Daphnia pulex: one gene and its partners. The main gene of each other region encodes a partner of the protein of the gene in region 2 in a complex. Links are inferred from orthologs where the notes say so. Each region holds a gene or a part of one and is shown on either strand. Other genes may lie near its edges.

The links.
Region 1: serine/threonine-protein kinase mTOR-like (region 2) and target of rapamycin complex 2 subunit MAPKAP1-like share a complex: the UniProt entries of both Homo sapiens proteins name them as parts of the mechanistic target of rapamycin complex. The link is inferred for Daphnia pulex from reciprocal best matches to the Homo sapiens genes MTOR and MAPKAP1.
Region 3: the proteins of serine/threonine-protein kinase mTOR-like (region 2) and target of rapamycin complex subunit lst8-like are in contact, whole or in part, in a crystal structure (PDB 4JSV), measured with the Homo sapiens proteins. The link is inferred for Daphnia pulex from reciprocal best matches to the Homo sapiens genes MTOR and MLST8. Residues at the interface, in NP_001373429.1 of Homo sapiens: Leu2269, Arg2270, Met2271, Ala2272, Pro2273, Asp2274, His2277, Leu2278, Thr2279, Leu2280, Met2281, Gln2282, Val2284, Glu2285, Val2286, Glu2288, His2289, Asn2292, Asn2293, Glu2536; in NP_001186102.1 of Homo sapiens: Tyr20, His22, Asp42, Ser43, Gln44, Val45, Asn46, Tyr62, Asn87, Glu105, Gln148, Thr174, Arg221, Tyr222, Leu224, Ser268, Arg270, Gly271, Trp272, Trp274, Ser290, Lys313, Val316.

Annotation. Positions count from the first base shown.
Region 1 is NC_060023.1:2,533,612-2,538,514, reverse strand, and holds target of rapamycin complex 2 subunit MAPKAP1-like, read left to right. Parts: upstream 1-1,438; 5' UTR 1,439-1,562; coding exon 1,563-1,602; intron 1,603-1,660; coding exon 1,661-1,747; intron 1,748-1,818; coding exon 1,819-2,404; intron 2,405-2,470; coding exon 2,471-2,769; intron 2,770-2,829; coding exon 2,830-3,167; 3' UTR 3,168-3,218; downstream 3,219-4,903. Other genes in the region: uncharacterized protein LOC124198557, read right to left, coding at 3,307-3,881, 3,938-4,073; translation initiation factor eIF-2B subunit alpha-like, read right to left, coding at 4,356-4,514, 4,575-4,700, 4,760-4,903. UniProt on the Homo sapiens protein: Component of the mechanistic target of rapamycin complex 2 (mTORC2), which transduces signals from growth factors to pathways involved in proliferation, cytoskeletal organization, lipogenesis and anabolic output.
Region 2 is NC_060027.1:5,105,039-5,111,409, forward strand, and holds the start of serine/threonine-protein kinase mTOR-like, read left to right. Parts: upstream 1-2,317; 5' UTR 2,318-2,530; intron 2,531-2,646; 5' UTR 2,647-2,653; coding exon 2,654-2,746; intron 2,747-2,824; coding exon 2,825-3,091; intron 3,092-3,174; coding exon 3,175-3,273; intron 3,274-3,338; coding exon 3,339-3,532; intron 3,533-3,591; coding exon 3,592-3,787; intron 3,788-3,853; coding exon 3,854-4,015; intron 4,016-4,076; coding exon 4,077-4,246; intron 4,247-4,308; coding exon 4,309-4,480; intron 4,481-4,543; coding exon 4,544-4,814; intron 4,815-4,887; coding exon 4,888-5,007; intron 5,008-5,084; coding exon 5,085-5,648; intron 5,649-5,717; coding exon 5,718-5,934; intron 5,935-6,000; coding exon 6,001-6,172; intron 6,173-6,235; coding exon 6,236-6,371. Other genes in the region: RING finger and SPRY domain-containing protein 1-like, read right to left, coding at 1-1, 81-236, 304-518, 587-846, 923-1,063, 1,124-1,190, 1,249-1,434, 1,498-1,663 and 1 more. UniProt on the Homo sapiens protein: Serine/threonine protein kinase which is a central regulator of cellular metabolism, growth and survival in response to hormones, growth factors, nutrients, energy and stress signals.
Region 3 is NC_060019.1:9,054,803-9,059,594, forward strand, and holds target of rapamycin complex subunit lst8-like, read right to left. Parts: upstream 3,292-4,792; 5' UTR 3,180-3,291; coding exon 2,848-3,179; intron 2,781-2,847; coding exon 2,661-2,780; intron 2,596-2,660; coding exon 2,565-2,595; intron 2,505-2,564; coding exon 2,427-2,504; intron 2,343-2,426; coding exon 2,197-2,342; intron 2,138-2,196; coding exon 1,995-2,137; intron 1,926-1,994; coding exon 1,810-1,925; 3' UTR 1,686-1,809; downstream 1-1,685. Other genes in the region: N-acylneuraminate cytidylyltransferase A-like, read right to left, coding at 696-825; uncharacterized protein LOC124191397, read right to left, coding at 3,374-3,802, 3,868-3,960, 4,021-4,792.

The DNA of each region.
Region 1 (4,903 bases), on a different chromosome or scaffold from region 2:
AAATTACCTGTTTAAAATTTGATTGATAATTTTTTTTTAGTAAGAGGTTTGACTGCGCGAAACTAGAAGCACCTTCCGCCACAACGGTGTGTCGCCGGAAGAGACAGTACTGGAATCTTCCATTATATGCCGACCATGTCTTCGTCAGCCAGGATGACATCCACCAACAGTACCAGCCGCTGAAACCCACTCAAGTCATCCAGTAAGCATAAATATCTTATCTTTCCTGATAAAAGGGCCATCAAATTATTAATTTTGTATTTGTCAATAATTGAAATAGGGTTCTGCCTTCCGCATTGCCCGATTACCGTAATGGAATGGCCATCCGCCCCTACCAGTCCAATCCGCAGTTCATTTCCCCATTCAGTATTCAGTCGTCGCTCGATAAACCGTCAGATCAGCCAGTTTACAGGGTAGCAGATCCGCTTTTCGGCGCTTTTTACGCCTTTTCTTCTCTTCTCTCCAACATTTTCAGTGGCATTTTCCGACCGCAACCGACTCCGGCCGTCCTCGTCACCAGGTACACGATATTCCTTAAGAAATTCATAATTCAAAATATCACCGTCAATCATAAAATGACATTGAACGATTATAGTACATCGACAGTGTACACAACGACGACAACCGCAACTTCCACAACTTCGACAGCTACTTACACTTTGAAAGGCGCAAATTGTCTTCCAGCCGGAGTTGTTGTTTGTCCAGGATCTAATACCGCTGCTGCGTCCAGTACTACTGCCGCTTCAACCACCGCCTCCTCCACCACTCCGGCCTCCACCACTACATCGGCGACTACAACCACAGGATCGACGCCAACTTCCACATCAGGTTAGTACTTAGTATGAATCCACATTCGTAATTCTAAGATCACTATACATTTTTTAAAATATTTACCAAAATAAGATTCAACTACTACGGCCAGCAGCACCACCGATTCAAGTACTGTAACCAGCACGACAGATTCAACTACTGTCACAAGCACTTCCGACTCAACTACTGTTACAAGCACCACAGATTCAACTACGACGTCATCGACCACGCCAAGCTCTGGTTAAATTCAGTGTTGATGATTATGAAGATCTCGATGATTTAATTTAACAATAAATAATTAGAAATCATTTTGATGCGGGGCATAACATTATTAAAATGGTAAAAGAAAAAGATAAGTATGTTAAAGTAGTATTTAAAGAACAAAACACATTTTTACCTCTTTCTCGACCAATTTCAATACGACCGTGCCCATCAAATTGAACCATACATAGTGTTCGCTTCTGAAAAAGTTAATAAGAAATAAACTCACAGCATTACCCAATTCGTTTTTGAAGATCTAAGAAATGGAATGGAAGACAAATTTAGCCGAAAAAATTATTAATTTTTGCCGACGTTTTCGCGCAACAGACAGTTGATTTGATGCGGCAACACTGCGCTCATAGCAGAAGCTCAATCAAAATGTCAAACAACCTAAAACTAAATCCCTAAAAAGGCAAAACAATAACATTAGAGCAAGAGTTGGGTGTTTGGTCTCCTTTCTCTATGAAAAAAGAAAAATACAGAATGCTTCAATGTTTTATACACATTATCTAAGTGCTACGCTATCCGAAAGTACGATATACTTACTTCATTGGTGCGCGTACAAATCGAAATCGAATTTGGGTTCTAGGTCAACAGAGTATTATGGCGTTTTATGACAACAAATATTGGATTCTTTCCCATGTAAGAAACTCATTCTTGTACTCAGATGATACTGGTGAGTTACTTTATTCTCTTTGGAACATTTGATTTTCTATAGTGCTGATTGCATTGTTTCTCTCCATTCAGGCATGTGCGAAATGATATTGCAGAACGCTGATATACCAAAGAAGATCAGAGAAGAGGGTAAAAAACAGTGGTTTGGAAATTTAGATGATTCAGAAGAAGAGTTTGATGATGATGGACGAATTCACACAAGATCTCTAGGAAATGGTAATGATGACTTTGGAACTCGGAGGAGAAGGCTTAACACAGTGGTGAGGCTTGAGAAGATGAGGAAAGAACAGCAAGCAGCCGCCATGATCAGTACCATTAGATGGAAAGAGCCAGATTTGACCAATCTAGATCAAGGTGAAAAGACCAAGATATTTCAAAAGAAGGAAGTGGTTGCTCAGAATTCCAAATCTGCCCTTTCTAAACTTATGGCTGAGCACGCCTCGGATCCCGATTCGCCATTCATTGAGTATGCAAAATTTGATGGGAATTCTCAATTGAGAGCACCCACAAGAACAATAAGGATATTTTTAAGCATGCAAAGTGCTGAAGACCGCAACTTTCCTATGACCGTTTGTGTTGTGGCTTCGGCAAAGGTTTCTGAACTTATCGGCCTTGTTTGTTACAAATACAGCCACGAAAAAAGAGAACCTCCTTTAACGTAAATATTAAAATTTTGCCCTTGAAAAATTAGATTAATTAAGTTCAGTATATATTTTACAATTAGTGGATCTGTGGATAATTACGCACTATTCATTGCCGAAGACGACGGAAGTCCAGATGCCGATTTCCCTTGCCTAGAACCTAAAGAAGTTGTTGGGAAGTTTGGATTCACCTCCCTGGCTTTGGTTCGCTCTGCCAATCCCCCAAAGGAGGCGAAGAAAGACGTCGAGACTAATAAAACAGTTGATCAACTCAACACTGAGAAACCAGAAGAGCGTGGGGCTGTTCTGGAATCTACCGACTACCATTCGTTCAAAGGATTTTTGCTACACAAAGTTCGGCCAAACACGGAAATAACTTTGGGTAAATAAATAAAATGTTATAAATTATCCATGTCAAATCCAATAATAACGTTTCGCACAGGAATTTCGTGGGACCAAGTGGAGATCAAGCCTTGCCCAACTAGTCGGTCTGTAACAACTTTACTGTGGTCAAGGCCCAATCTCAAACCAACCCGTTTACCTATTGAAGTGATCGTAGATTGTGTTCCTATGCAAACATTGCCAGCATCAGTTGCTATTATGTATTACGACACAGATAAAAGAAAATGGAGGCGTTTGCGAATTGAGTGTGACTCGAAGACCATCGAACAAGTTGTGGCGAAGTTAAAATTCATATTAGAAATCCGGGGAGGACTTTACCGCCAGGAGTACCTCCATCACATGTCATACGTCAACAAGAAAGCCAGCCTGATTCGTTAAAAGAAATTTTAATAATTCAATTGTTTGTTTAATAAACCTTAAAATGCGAAATGTCAATTTTTACAAAGTATAGCGGATTATGTAGCGGAAGAAAGGATTATTGTAGACGTCGTTATCCAGAAAGGAATGGGAGAAGGTCCTATGTCCATTGAAAAGTTGGAACTATCATGCTCTGAACTTCGTCTAGTTGACGCTCAACCGTTGATAAGGACCGATGTAGTTGTTGGGAATTTTTTTCCAGGTGTACGAGTCCTATGTAGTGGCGTGTTTGATATGAAACAATTTTCTTGTTGACTGCTGCAAAATCTGGTAAGCTCTTTAGAAACTTTACATCTTCAGATTTCAATCGGCCTGTTTCAATTTGCACTCTTCCCTTCAAGACATCTTTAAGCTTACTCTTTGCATCTAAATAGGCTTCTCTTCTCTTTTTGTATTCTTCATTCCACAGCAACTTCTCATTCTTCAGTTGTTTTGTGGCTGATCTTGTTCGTTTCTCAAATTTCTGATGAGCTTTATCTCCAGTAGAAACTAGAACTTTGTTTAGAATGTCTTCAATGTTATCCCGTAGCCTTTCTGAATAGGCAGCAACAGCATCTTGCTCTTTTTCTAAGGCATTAAACTTCATTTCCTTCAGGGTATGATTCAGACATAGTTCTGTTATTTTATGTTTCTTCCCAGAAGGAGGTAGGGATGAGTCTACCGCAGCACAAGCAGCTGTAAAAACTTCATAGTGAACAAATTGACAAACAATATCCACAACATTTCATTACCTCGAAAAGTTGAACCAGAACCACCACCAGTAATACTTCTGTTAAGACTTGGTCTCCTCTTTATGAAGTCATCAATGTTGTTTCTTTCTCTTGGAAATTTCTCCGGAATGTGGTCTTTATTTGGCTCATTTAACATCTTTTTCCTCACAGTTTTCTGTAGTTGTCTCAATTAAACTTTGTTATTATTCCCTAATTTTGATTGTTAAAAAGTTAGAGCTAAATTAGCACCAACGCTAACAACTTCAACGGTTTCCAATTTGAAGTGCATCGTTCGAAACGCCACCTTGCGACAGATGACCTTACTGCATGTTATATTTTCCACACGCGCAGGAAAATGTCTAAAATCACAAAAAAAGTGACATGAACGTGTATTTTATTTACACATTTATCGATGTTTTTATATTTAGACGACTCTCTTTCATAGATAAAGTTTAATTAATTCATCACTGACGGCTGATGGAGTGAGAATTCCCAAATCTGTGAAAAGCAAAGTCAAATATCCTGGTGGCGTGTAATCAACTTGAGGATGCTGATCGAGAAGATTAGAATGATTGGATTCAATAATAGTTGACGAGAACTAAAAAAATTCAACACAAGTTTCAGCATTATGGAAAATTGGTTAAAAAATTTAACATACTTTCAGTTCTTGGGGTAAATCGCGTTGGTTCAGCGGGTAGAGACGGACAAATTTGAAGCTCTCAGCGAGAACGTAAAAGGGTTTGTGCATTTCCTTGGCACACAGCGCCATAGTATATGTTCCAATCTATTTCAATAAATTTTTCAATTTTTTTAAATAGTCAAATAAATATATTTTATCCGTACCTTATTGATAATGCCTCCGCTTTCAACAACACCTTCAGCTCCAACAAGCACTAAATCCACTGATTCCATGACATAACCCATGGCCGAATCCAAAATGAGAGTCGAACCAATACTGTGTTTCAATAGCTCGTCTCTCATAGCGAC
Region 2 (6,371 bases):
TCTATCGGCAGATAATAAGGATGTCAGATTATTCTGGTAACCAGGTTTACTTAGCAAAAAATATTAAGTAGAAACAGAACCTTGGCAATATAATTTTTTGCTCTGCTGTTAACAATGCGTGGTCATTGAAAGCAGACACGGCAACTCCTCTGGGTGCAAAATGAAATGGTTTACTTCCGAAATTGAATTCGCACTGTTGAAACGACATAAAACTTGCAGCGGCAAAAAAGCCGCTTCTATAGTTATAACAAAAAGTATACGGTATTATTTTAAATCGTTTAAAAATCAGGATTGCTATTATACTTGGCAGATTTGAAAAGTTGTGAGTTAGACCCAAGTGCAACCCCATTCAACGAGAATATGACTTCCTCTCGATCAATATTCAATAAACATCCTAAAATATCTCCAGGTTTCCATTGTTGAAGTGTATGTGGTATGGATTCCGCTTCATACCAAATCAAGTTGCGACATCCATCATAGGCAATGGAAAACTCGTCATCACCGATACCATATCCTTCCTAAATAGATAAAAAAGAAAAGAAATAATAGTTTTCCATTTGACCTAATTATTATAAATGATAAGTACGTAGTTAAGAAATTTGCTGGATTTCGTAGCCCAACCAATCTGCATGATTCCAGGTGTGACTATCAACGCTTCGTAATACCAAATGCCAGCATCCGCTTGATATGTACAGCGGACACTTTCAAAGGAAGAAGCGTCGCAGCGAGCTTCAAGACCATTGGCTGCAATTTTGAGATATTCGCTAACATCTTGGCTGTTAAGCATAACATTGATAGCACTTGTATCTGTGCGTTCGTAGGTGAACGATCGCCCCTCACTAACGACTGTTACAGAAATGAATAGCATTCAAAATTAAGGTTCATTCAAACGTGTGATAAAGAGTTTTAAAAAAATGCATACATAGATTATCAAGACACCATTCAGAACAGAATCCAACTTGACGTTTCATGTAATCGTCGGTCGATTTCCATTTTTCCAACACCAAAAGTGGATGCTGGGTTTCTTGGTGGAATCTTTTATTGAGAGCAATTTTGTTTTCACCTAAATAGAAGAAAAATGAGAAACAAATCCTACAAACTAGTTATAATTATTATTTTTTACTTGTTTGAGCAAATTTCTCAAGAGCAATTAATGAAAACAGTACTACTGGTGGGTGGTTTGATGGATCCTAAAAGATATACATTGTTGAAAATAAAGTGAGACCAAAGATTGATTGTCAGACATACCAGGTTGGCTATAAGGTAATCCAATGTGCTGTCAGTTAGCAAAGCAACACTTGTAGGCCCAGCCAATTTTTCAGCAATGCAGCCCAATGCAATACAAATATTCCTGTGACGATTAGGATCTGATCTTCCCCTTTTACTAGCTTTAGCTGACAGCCAAAACATCCGGGGGACTTTAGTAATGGAATCCTGAAAAAAAAATGGTGAAAATTTAACCTAGCAACAATGTCTAACATATGATTAAAATCTTACCTTTGCTGGTAAGGCACAGTCATCTAGCACCAGAGTGATGACAGCAGGTCCAAGGGGTTCATTAATGGGTATTACATTAACCATGGAATGTAGAACAAGCAACCAACCATGCCCTTTGTTAGAAAGAGCTTGTAATCTTAACATTGAAGGAGGTGTTTCTTGATCACTAAACAAAGAAGGAATAATTAAAGTGGATACATAGGAACATATAATAAAAACATACTTTTCAACTAAATTTCCTATGACAGCTAATGTCTGCAAAACAAGACTGTCAATATGGGGTAGCATTCGCCTCAAGTGTGAGGCCTCAGATGCTGGTATAACATGAGATGGGAAACTTCTGTCTCTATCAACTGAAATATTAGATTGCAGTGGACTTGGGAGGCTGGCAGTTTCTGGTTGAGGCACTGAGAGAGAGGGTAGTTCCCCATCCTTTTCGTCACAACATAAGCATTGTCCCATTTTTAACTGCTTCAGTGGAAATTAAATTTGAACATGTTATTTGAGAGAGATCGTCACTATTCAAACGTGCAATTTGATCTCCATCTTAGTTAAGTTTATAAGTGGGTGTATATGGATTGACCAGGAATGGATTTGACGTTGTTCAACAATTAATTTCAGTAGCACTATTTAACCATGTTATAAATATGGATGGTAATCTAGTATTGAGAAATTCGATGAAAAAGGTATCGTCTGCTGCTTATAACGCGAACATAGATATCCGCTAGGGGCGCTTATAGGAGAGCCATCCTTTCACCGGACATCTAATAGTATCTAATGCCTAATGAGGAGTAACACAATTTGGAGTTTTCTTTTTCTTCCGTCAGATGTCGAAGTCCACAAGTTTGTTTATTAAAATAAGTCATACTGATACTGTAAAGTCTAATTAGTAATTACACGTTGTGGAATTCGCGTATTGCATATTCTTTTTAAAATAAGGCTTATCTTTTTTTGTCGAAGACAAAGAGTTATTTGATTGAATGGAAAAATAACATATAGTGTCCAATTTCAATTTTCGCTAGCGGGGTACGAGGTGATTGGCGACAGTTGACTTTGAATGTTTTCGAACTACTCCTTTGAGTTGTTGCTGATTATGCATTGAATTTATATCAACTGCTTCCTTTATTTTATCCTTTTTATTTATTTCAGTTACAGAATGGCAACCGGAATGATGCAAACATTCATCACTGGGCTTAGATCCAGAAGTGAAGATTTGAGACTAAAGGCTGCCCGAGATTTACACCATTATGTAAGAGAAGGATAAAGAGCTAAATGTTTAAGAAGGAAATAATATAGAATTGTTTTAATGTTGTCTTAATTTGTTTAGGTGACATCTGAGTTAAGAGAGGCATTGCAGGAAGATGTAATTTCATTTGTTGATGATTTGAATCACCATATATTTGACATGGTGTCCAGCTCAGATGTCAATGAAAAGAAAGGTGGCATTCTAGCCATAGTTAGTTTATTGCAAGTAGATGTTGGAAATACCAATGCCAGAATGACTAGATTTGCCAACTATTTGAAAAACTTACTTCCATCTCAGGATGTAGTTGTAATGGAGTTAACTGCAAGGGCACTTGGAAAATTGACACTGGCAAGTTAAACAAAAATCTAAATAGCCTCTACACATAATTAAAACAGATGATAAATATAGATATGCAATTTTTAATAAAACAGGTATCAGGAAGCTACACCGCGGAGTATGTGGAATTTGAAGTAAAACGAGCCTTTGAGTGGCTCAGTGGCGAGAGAAATGAAGGTCGTAGGCATGCAGCGGTAAGTTAAAAATAACATCATTAACGATATGTTGATACCATAAGTTTTAACTCAATTTCTCACAGGTGCTGGTTTTGCGAGAATTGGCTTTATCCATGCCAACTTTCTTTTTCCAGCAAGTCCAGACTTTTTTTGACGTTATTTTTTATGCTGTTCGGGACTCCAAACCAATGATTCGAGAAGGCGCAGTTGCTGCTTTACGCTCTGCTTTAGTCGTCACATCTCAGCGAGAAACTAAAGAAGCTCAAAAGCCTACTTGGTAATAAACAAGCTTGTACAAGTTTAACACATAAAGATATAGTATTAACCATTAATTAGGTATAAACAATGCTTTGACGAGGCCCAACAAGGTTTTGAGGAACCGTTAGCCAAAGATAAAGGACTAACAAAGGACGACAGAGCTCATGGATCTCTTTTGGTTCTTCAAGAGCTTCTACGTTGTTCGAATGCAGAGGGTGAACGACTTCTCGCTGAACTAGAGCAATTAAATTTACTACATTCACAGACTGTTCAGGTTGAATATGCCGATCTTTGTATGACCTGAGCAAATGCGATAATTCTCAATGATTTTTTACCAAAGGATTCTCTAATTTCTACAACTTCCCGAGTGTTGCCGAACGGTGCTGTTGAATTAATCAACACTCCTACACTTTACAATAATCTCCGGCTTTTGCCAGGGCATGTCGCTCAATCAAGGATAGCCAGCGCCGTGTCACCACTATCGATAGTTGCGCCCCAGCAGGTGATTTATAAAATTGATCGCAATACTTCCACTTACCTGAACGAATTTTCTATACAAACAGTACCCTATAGTTGAAAGCGCTGCATGCCGCCAATTGACTGCTGATCATTTTGATGAAATTTGTGCCAACACTCTTCGACATAGCATCTCAAAAAGCAGCCATGTACAAGCAGCTTTGATGGGAATTCTGCCTAGACTGGCTGCCTATGATCGAACCCGATTTTCTGATAGGTATTAAATTTTTGGAAAATTTCTTAAAATGACAAATGACCATACATACTTAATTTCCCCAGGTATTTGGGCCCTTCGATGAGCTACTTGATGGCGTGTTTGACCCGCAAAGAAAAAAATCCTCACCTTGCAATGATAACTATAGGTTATATAGCAGTGTGTATTGAAGGGGATATTGCCACACATCTCCCTGGCATTATTAGTTTTGTTCGGACTTCTCTACCTCAAAATAAAGTAGAGAAACTAAAGAGTGTAAAGAAGAAAAATTCTTTAATTTTCGAAACTTCTCCAAACTAGGACCCATCTTCTACCAAAAAACGCTCCAGTCCCCCTGATATTGCTGTTTTCGTCTGTCTAAGTCTGCTTGGCCGAGCCGTTGGTCGTTCTCATCTAACTAGTGAGTTCAAGGATCTACTGGATCCCATGCTGTCCGTTGGACTTAGTCCTGCCCTGACAACTTGTCTTCGTGAACTGGCCTTGAGAATTCCTCATCTTAAAAAAGACATTGCCGAAGGACTCTTGCGGATGCTTTCACTAGTTTTGATGCACCAACCACTTCGTCATCCAGGCATGGTTTTATTTTAAACAACGAATTTGGAAAAGTACATTCTACTTGAATTAATTTATCCATTCTATTTTAGGAATGCCAAAACATCATATGGCGCTCACTCCAGTGGCACTTCAACCACTACCATCGAATGGGGATGACGTCAATAGCATCGTTTTAGCTCTAAGAACGTTGGGGAGTTTTGATTTTCAAGGTTAAAAAACCAATTTATTTAAAATTCAATGAACGAGAGACGCAGATTTTTCAACATAATTTTGTTTGTGTCGCTAGGTCAACCACTACTTTTACAATTTGTTCGCCATTGTGCCGACAACTTTTTGTGCAGTGAGCAAAGGGCCATACGTCTTGAAGCTGTGCGAACATGCAGTCAGTTATTGAAATGTGCACTTCAGGAGTCAGTGAAATTAAAGAAAAAGCCATTGAGAAGCAGTGGAGTTCGCCTAGTTTCTGCTACGGTAGCTGAAGTCTTGAGTAAACTGCTCACCGCTGCCATCACGGATCCTGACGCTAGTGTCCGATACTGTGTTTTCGCGAGTCTCGATCCCCATTTCTTTTCGTATCTGGCGCTTGCGGAAAATCTTGGCTCTATCACTGTGGCGCTAAACGATGAAGTCTTTGAGATTCGAGAAATGGCTGTGTGTATCATTGGCCACTTGTCTTCCATGAATCCGGCTTATATTATGCCTGCTCTGCGTAAGCTTTTAATACAGTTGCTCACCGAATTGGAGCACAGTGGCATGGGTCGGAATAAAGAGCAAAGTTCGAGGTTATTAGGACGCTTGGTTTCTTCCGCACCAAGGCTAATCAAACCTTATATGGAACCCATCCTAAAAAGTAAGAACTGCCAGTCAAAATTTGAGGAATAATATTTTGATGTGTGTTACAAAAATTGTTTTATTTCAGTTTTAGTTCCGAAATTGAAAGAAAACGACCCTAATCCTGGAGTCACAATCGCCGTTCTCACTGCTATCGGAGATTTAGCTCAGGTGTCTGAGAGTGAAATGAGGCTGTGGAGCCCTGAGCTACTCCCTTTGTTATTGGATATGTTAGCTGATTCTAGTCTTCCAGCTAAAAGAGAAGTTGCCTTATGGACCTTGGCACAGTTGATCGAAAGTACAGGGTAAGGATTCTCACTACTTGTTTCTTGCTTTCTTATTGAAATTATTATTTCCCACCAAATATCTAGATGTGTGATTCAACCTTATCAAGAATTTCCGTCACTGCTTGAGCTGCTACTGAGCTTTTTAAAAACCGAACAACTTGTTTCCATTCGCCGAGAAACGCTCAGAGTATTGGGATTGCTTGGAGCGCTGGACCCTTATAAACATAAAATGAACTTGGGTCATATTGATAGCCAAGTAAGTAGAAAACTTTGCGAATTTCCAAATATCGCCCGATATCTAATCACTTCTTGTTAACAGGGTGACTCCAGTGCTGTAATGTCAATGTCTGATGCTCGAGATGCTGACTCTTTTATGGATTCGTCGGCAAGCGAAATGCTAGTCAACATGAACTACTCATCGTTGGAAGAATTTTATCCTGCTGTGGCAATCGCTA
Region 3 (4,792 bases), on a different chromosome or scaffold from region 2:
ACTCACAAGGGACCAGCGAGGAAAAAGTTTCTAAATTCTTTTGGGATCTACACACATATTGAAGGCGCTGCGTGCAATGCGCCGGGTGAGAAGAGAGAAAAAAAAAATTGCGCTGGCGTTCCAATCCTCCTGGTAACGCACACAAAACTACTACTACCACCACCATCCAATCATATATATATATTTATTGTAAAAAGGAAGAAGAAAAGAAAAGGTTAGGAGCTATATTATTATTATACAGGAGCGGCAGGGCGTAGTATTGGAGCCAAGCACGCTCCGTTGCCTTTTCTCTCCCCCCCACGACGACGAAGACGAAAAACGCTCCTATATTCCAGTCTGACTACCACCAACAGCCTCAGTTGGCGCAGAATTCGGATCGTCTCCTTCTGAATGACTGCATTCGGCATCCCTTTTAGACACGCACAAATGAGCATACAGCTAGACGTCTATCTCGCTTTCCTTGTACACACACACACACATGATGAAAAAACCTTCCTACTCAAATATCCAATGAAAAAATGCCAATCCAAATTCAATTGAAGCGCTGCGAGAAGGAGAAAGAAACACCTATCTCATTCTTGCACGTATGTCGGCCGGGAAGGAGAATGTTACCCTCAACATTGGAAGAGAAAATTGTGGGGTTGCGGCCATACAAACTAAAATCGAATTACATAGTAGCGACAGTAGTAATTTACCTTTGCATTGTGACATGGTCCTGAGCGCCCAGAGAAGAAGCGGCGTGCCTTTGAGTAAGGCCAAGTTCTTGAGCGGGATTCCTTTGCTGCCTCCCCGTGCAAGGATCAATCCGGCGACGTGCATCGTCATCAGCAGTTGGTCTCGACACTGCAACTAAAGCAATCCCTCTGTTATGACGGACAATAATTCAGGATTTCTTTCTCGGTTCTACTTCTCAGCCGGCCTGGATCAGCAGTTAAAACTCCACTGGGTCTCACGTAAGCGTAGCCAACAAAAGTAAATAACGTCTTGTTTCTTTTGAGGAAGCTGTGTGTGCTCTCCCCAACCACCGCCTCGGAAGAGAAGAGCCAGCAACCCGGCCGCCGATCGATAGGATCCTGAAATCAAATCTGTTAGCTGCTATTATTGGTCGCTAGATGCCAGCACGCATGTGGAGTCTTGGCACTTTTTACGGAATCAAACATCAGAGGTCGACATGAGATTAATGCGACGACCAACCCGGTCCACCGCATTGGTGGTTTAAGTGATGGGACATTCAAGTGATGGAAAACCAACTGATAAAAAAAGGAGCGGAAGAAAGATGTTTGGAAAAAACAATGGCCGGCACGGGAGCGATCAAGTCCATCCTCGGTGCCCTGAATTCGGTAATCTCATCAAGAATCGAGGCTAGTGTCCAACTAAGGAGATTAATACTGATAGATGAGCCCCACGTTCGTTGTACGCGAGACTATTCCCTTCTCCTTTCTGCTGGACTGTAGAAATGGATGACTTGACATGAATAGAGGAGGATAGGGCGCTTGGTTGCTTCCATTCGGCTGAAATTCGTCACGCCATCCCAAACCCATTACGCCCGACTGATTGAATGTTAATCCAATTTGACGTTGACGTTTGTCTTGAGATTGAGGGGGCCAAAGCCAATACGACACAAGATAGGTGAGTTGATTCCCGCTCTACCAAATGAATCAACCTCTACAAGTGAGGTGGGACGGTACCATTAAAAATTCAGGCGTTCCTAAGTGTATCAAAGCCAATGAAAAACATTTTATACATTTGAGAAAAATAGAAGAAAAAAAAAAACCAAAAAAAAGGGAAAATTATGGTAAAATGTTCAATTTACGGTGTCCCGTCTTGAAATGCCAATGAGGTAAGAGCTTTTGAATGACCAATGTATTCTTTAGCTATCTCGCTCGTTTCTATACTCCACAGCCTTGCTGTGTTGTCGGACGAAGCTGGATAAACGAAATGTTTCATCAAGACAGGCAGACAAAACCAGGATGAAGAATAGAAGAGTCAAGTACCTGTTATTGCGTATTGTGAATCGGCAGAGAAGGCAATGTCCCACACCCAGCGCTGATTTTCAGTTTGCAGTGTGGAATGAAGGGAAAAATCGGAAGTCTTCCATAACTTGGCCGTTTGATCGGCTGACGTCGTGGCCAAGTACCTGCGAGATCAATTGTAAGATTGAAAAAGAAATTCAAAGAAAACGAGGCGAACGTATACTTTGCGTCAGGGCTGAATTTGCATTTGAGACCGTAACGTTTGTGAGCTAACAAACGGCTTTTCGGTCGCAACTGTGTTGGTGTCGAACCTTCTTCGCCGTCCGGCAGTTTAGTCCCAGGGATGAGGCTCCAAACATAACAGTTTCCCTTTATTTGTGTAGAGAGAGAAAAGGAAAAAAAACATCTCAAGACTTGGTTGGGAAACTAAGAATAAACATCAATAATGGGCACCTTGTTATTAATGGCTGCCATGAAGTTTGCAGAAGAATCAATGGAAATGTCTTGAATGGAGGCATCTTGTTCTGGAATCTGTAAGTATTTGATTGATATTATTATGGAAATGGAAATACTTGAGGTATCAATACTAACCAGTTGTTCATTGTGATCTGTTCTCAGGTCCCTATATAAGCAATCCATGTGTTACAATCATTCCCAACAGAATAAGAAAGGTACGTAAAATCTCACCAGATGTGGATGACACCACTTTGGTCTCCTACCAATAGTTCACCTTGATTAGGATGCAAACAAACACAATTTACAGGGGCAGTGACTTGAAATATTCTGGAACATTGCAAATTTCTTGTCCTAGAATGACACAAATGAGAACTCAATCAAACTATGTTTTTTCCAATAATACGAGGAAACATGATACCTAAGATCCCAAACTCTTGCAGAACAGTCTTCTCCTCCAGTGTACATCCAGTGTCCATCTTCGTGAAATCCAACAGCAGTCACATTTCGTGAAATACCTTCATAATTGACTATGGGATTGGGGTTAGAAGAGTTGATTTCATACATGCGAATATGTTGGTATCCTGCAGCTGCCAATAGCTGGCTGTCGGGGGTGATATCGAGAGCATTCACTTGCGATTCGGGATGTGTTACCGTCCGGGTACACACTCCCGAGTGGGCTTGCCAGAATTTAATTGAGTGATCATAACCTCCTGTAGCTAATATAACTTGATCTCCATTATTATTACCCATAAGGTTTTATTATATTGTTTGACGTTTAAGTCAAACCAACAAAATAAATTTCCTTATTGTTTTTCTTCTGAAATCACTCTACTAGCAGACGACGATCAGAAACTCAAACTACGAGCCCAAGGCCGCATTGCCAAATTACGAAAGGTATGAAATTAAAAAAAAAGAAGAGAAATTTTTAAGTTTTAAATCACATTTTATTGAACCGACAAGATTTCAACAATCATTTCTTCTTGTACAGACACAGGTATTTCTTCTGAATGTAGCAACATTATTTCAGGTGTAGGCGATACGGACTCAGTGAAGTGGGGTAAGGCAGGACATTCATTTTCCACATTTGTTTGTTCCATGAAATTTGATTCGGCGGAGACGTTTTGTGGATCCGGTTGCGTTGATTTATTAGAATCACCGAGATCTGTTTTTTTCATGATTCTTAAGAGTGTATTCTGACTCGGTAGGGGAAGAATGCCTTCGGATCTTAAATGCTTGTACGCCGAAGAACTTTTGTTTCTGATTCGTAAACATTCTTTGAGAAATTCGGGATCGTAACGCATTGCGCTGAATCGATCGTTTCTTCCAGGATTCACTGTTGCTTTGGCCATCATTGTTTTAACAACTAGCTGTTCCTAAAAGTGAGTAATTCTTGTAAATTAGCTGAAAAGAGAAATTTGACATATCAATTAATCATTACTTTGGGCTTTAAAAGCTTTAATTTCACATCAAAGCTATTCCAGTAAAGCTTCTTCCTTTCATTGCGCAAACCTTCTATGGTACCTGAAAGAGCCTGAAATTCAGAAAGAACTATTAAAGGATTATTCCGAGAAAAAATCCAACAATAATTTACCTCAATTTTAGAATTTGATCGTGTCAACCTTTGCTTGGTGGAACGCAACCTCGATTTATAATCTTCTTTCGAATTTTTCAATTTCTTGGTCTTCTGATTATTTGTACTTCTCTTCAAATAATTTTTAAAAACGCGGCATTTTGAACAGAGAGCGGAAGCAGGAGGGTTTGCAATTCCCATGCACATTTTTGAGCGCCACAAATTGCCTTCCTTGATACCAGCACATTTACCCGTCACTTCGGTATCTGCTAGCGAATCATCCACAATTCCTTGACATGTTCTTCTGTAATTGAAATCTTCAAGAATATTTGCTAAATCAGCTTTACTTCGAAACTCAAATTGCATATCTGGAGGCGTGATGGGTTTTCCATTCAGATACAACGCAACTTTGGTCATGGTGACAATTTTAACAGATTTTATAGTCATCACACCGTCATGGGAAAAAATATGACAAGAACAAACTAAATTGTTGTTTCGTTCGTTGAAGGACCAAGTCCATTCAGCTGTAGGAGTAACGACACCATTAATGAAGTTGTGGTAACCCGCCATACCCAAATGGAAACTTTCCTCCTCATTCACAGTAGGGGTCGAAGAAGAACGAATAACGTAATTGTGATCCGATTCATTTGGGCCAGCATTTTCTTGTGCTTCCTGAGATGTAGCTGATTCGAAATTGCGCAATGTCGATGACGCAGCAGCACTCTCTTCTAGAGAAGTTGGTGTTCGTGGAGGTACCAGTACGTAGCTGTGGTCAAAACTGCAAGACGCAGAA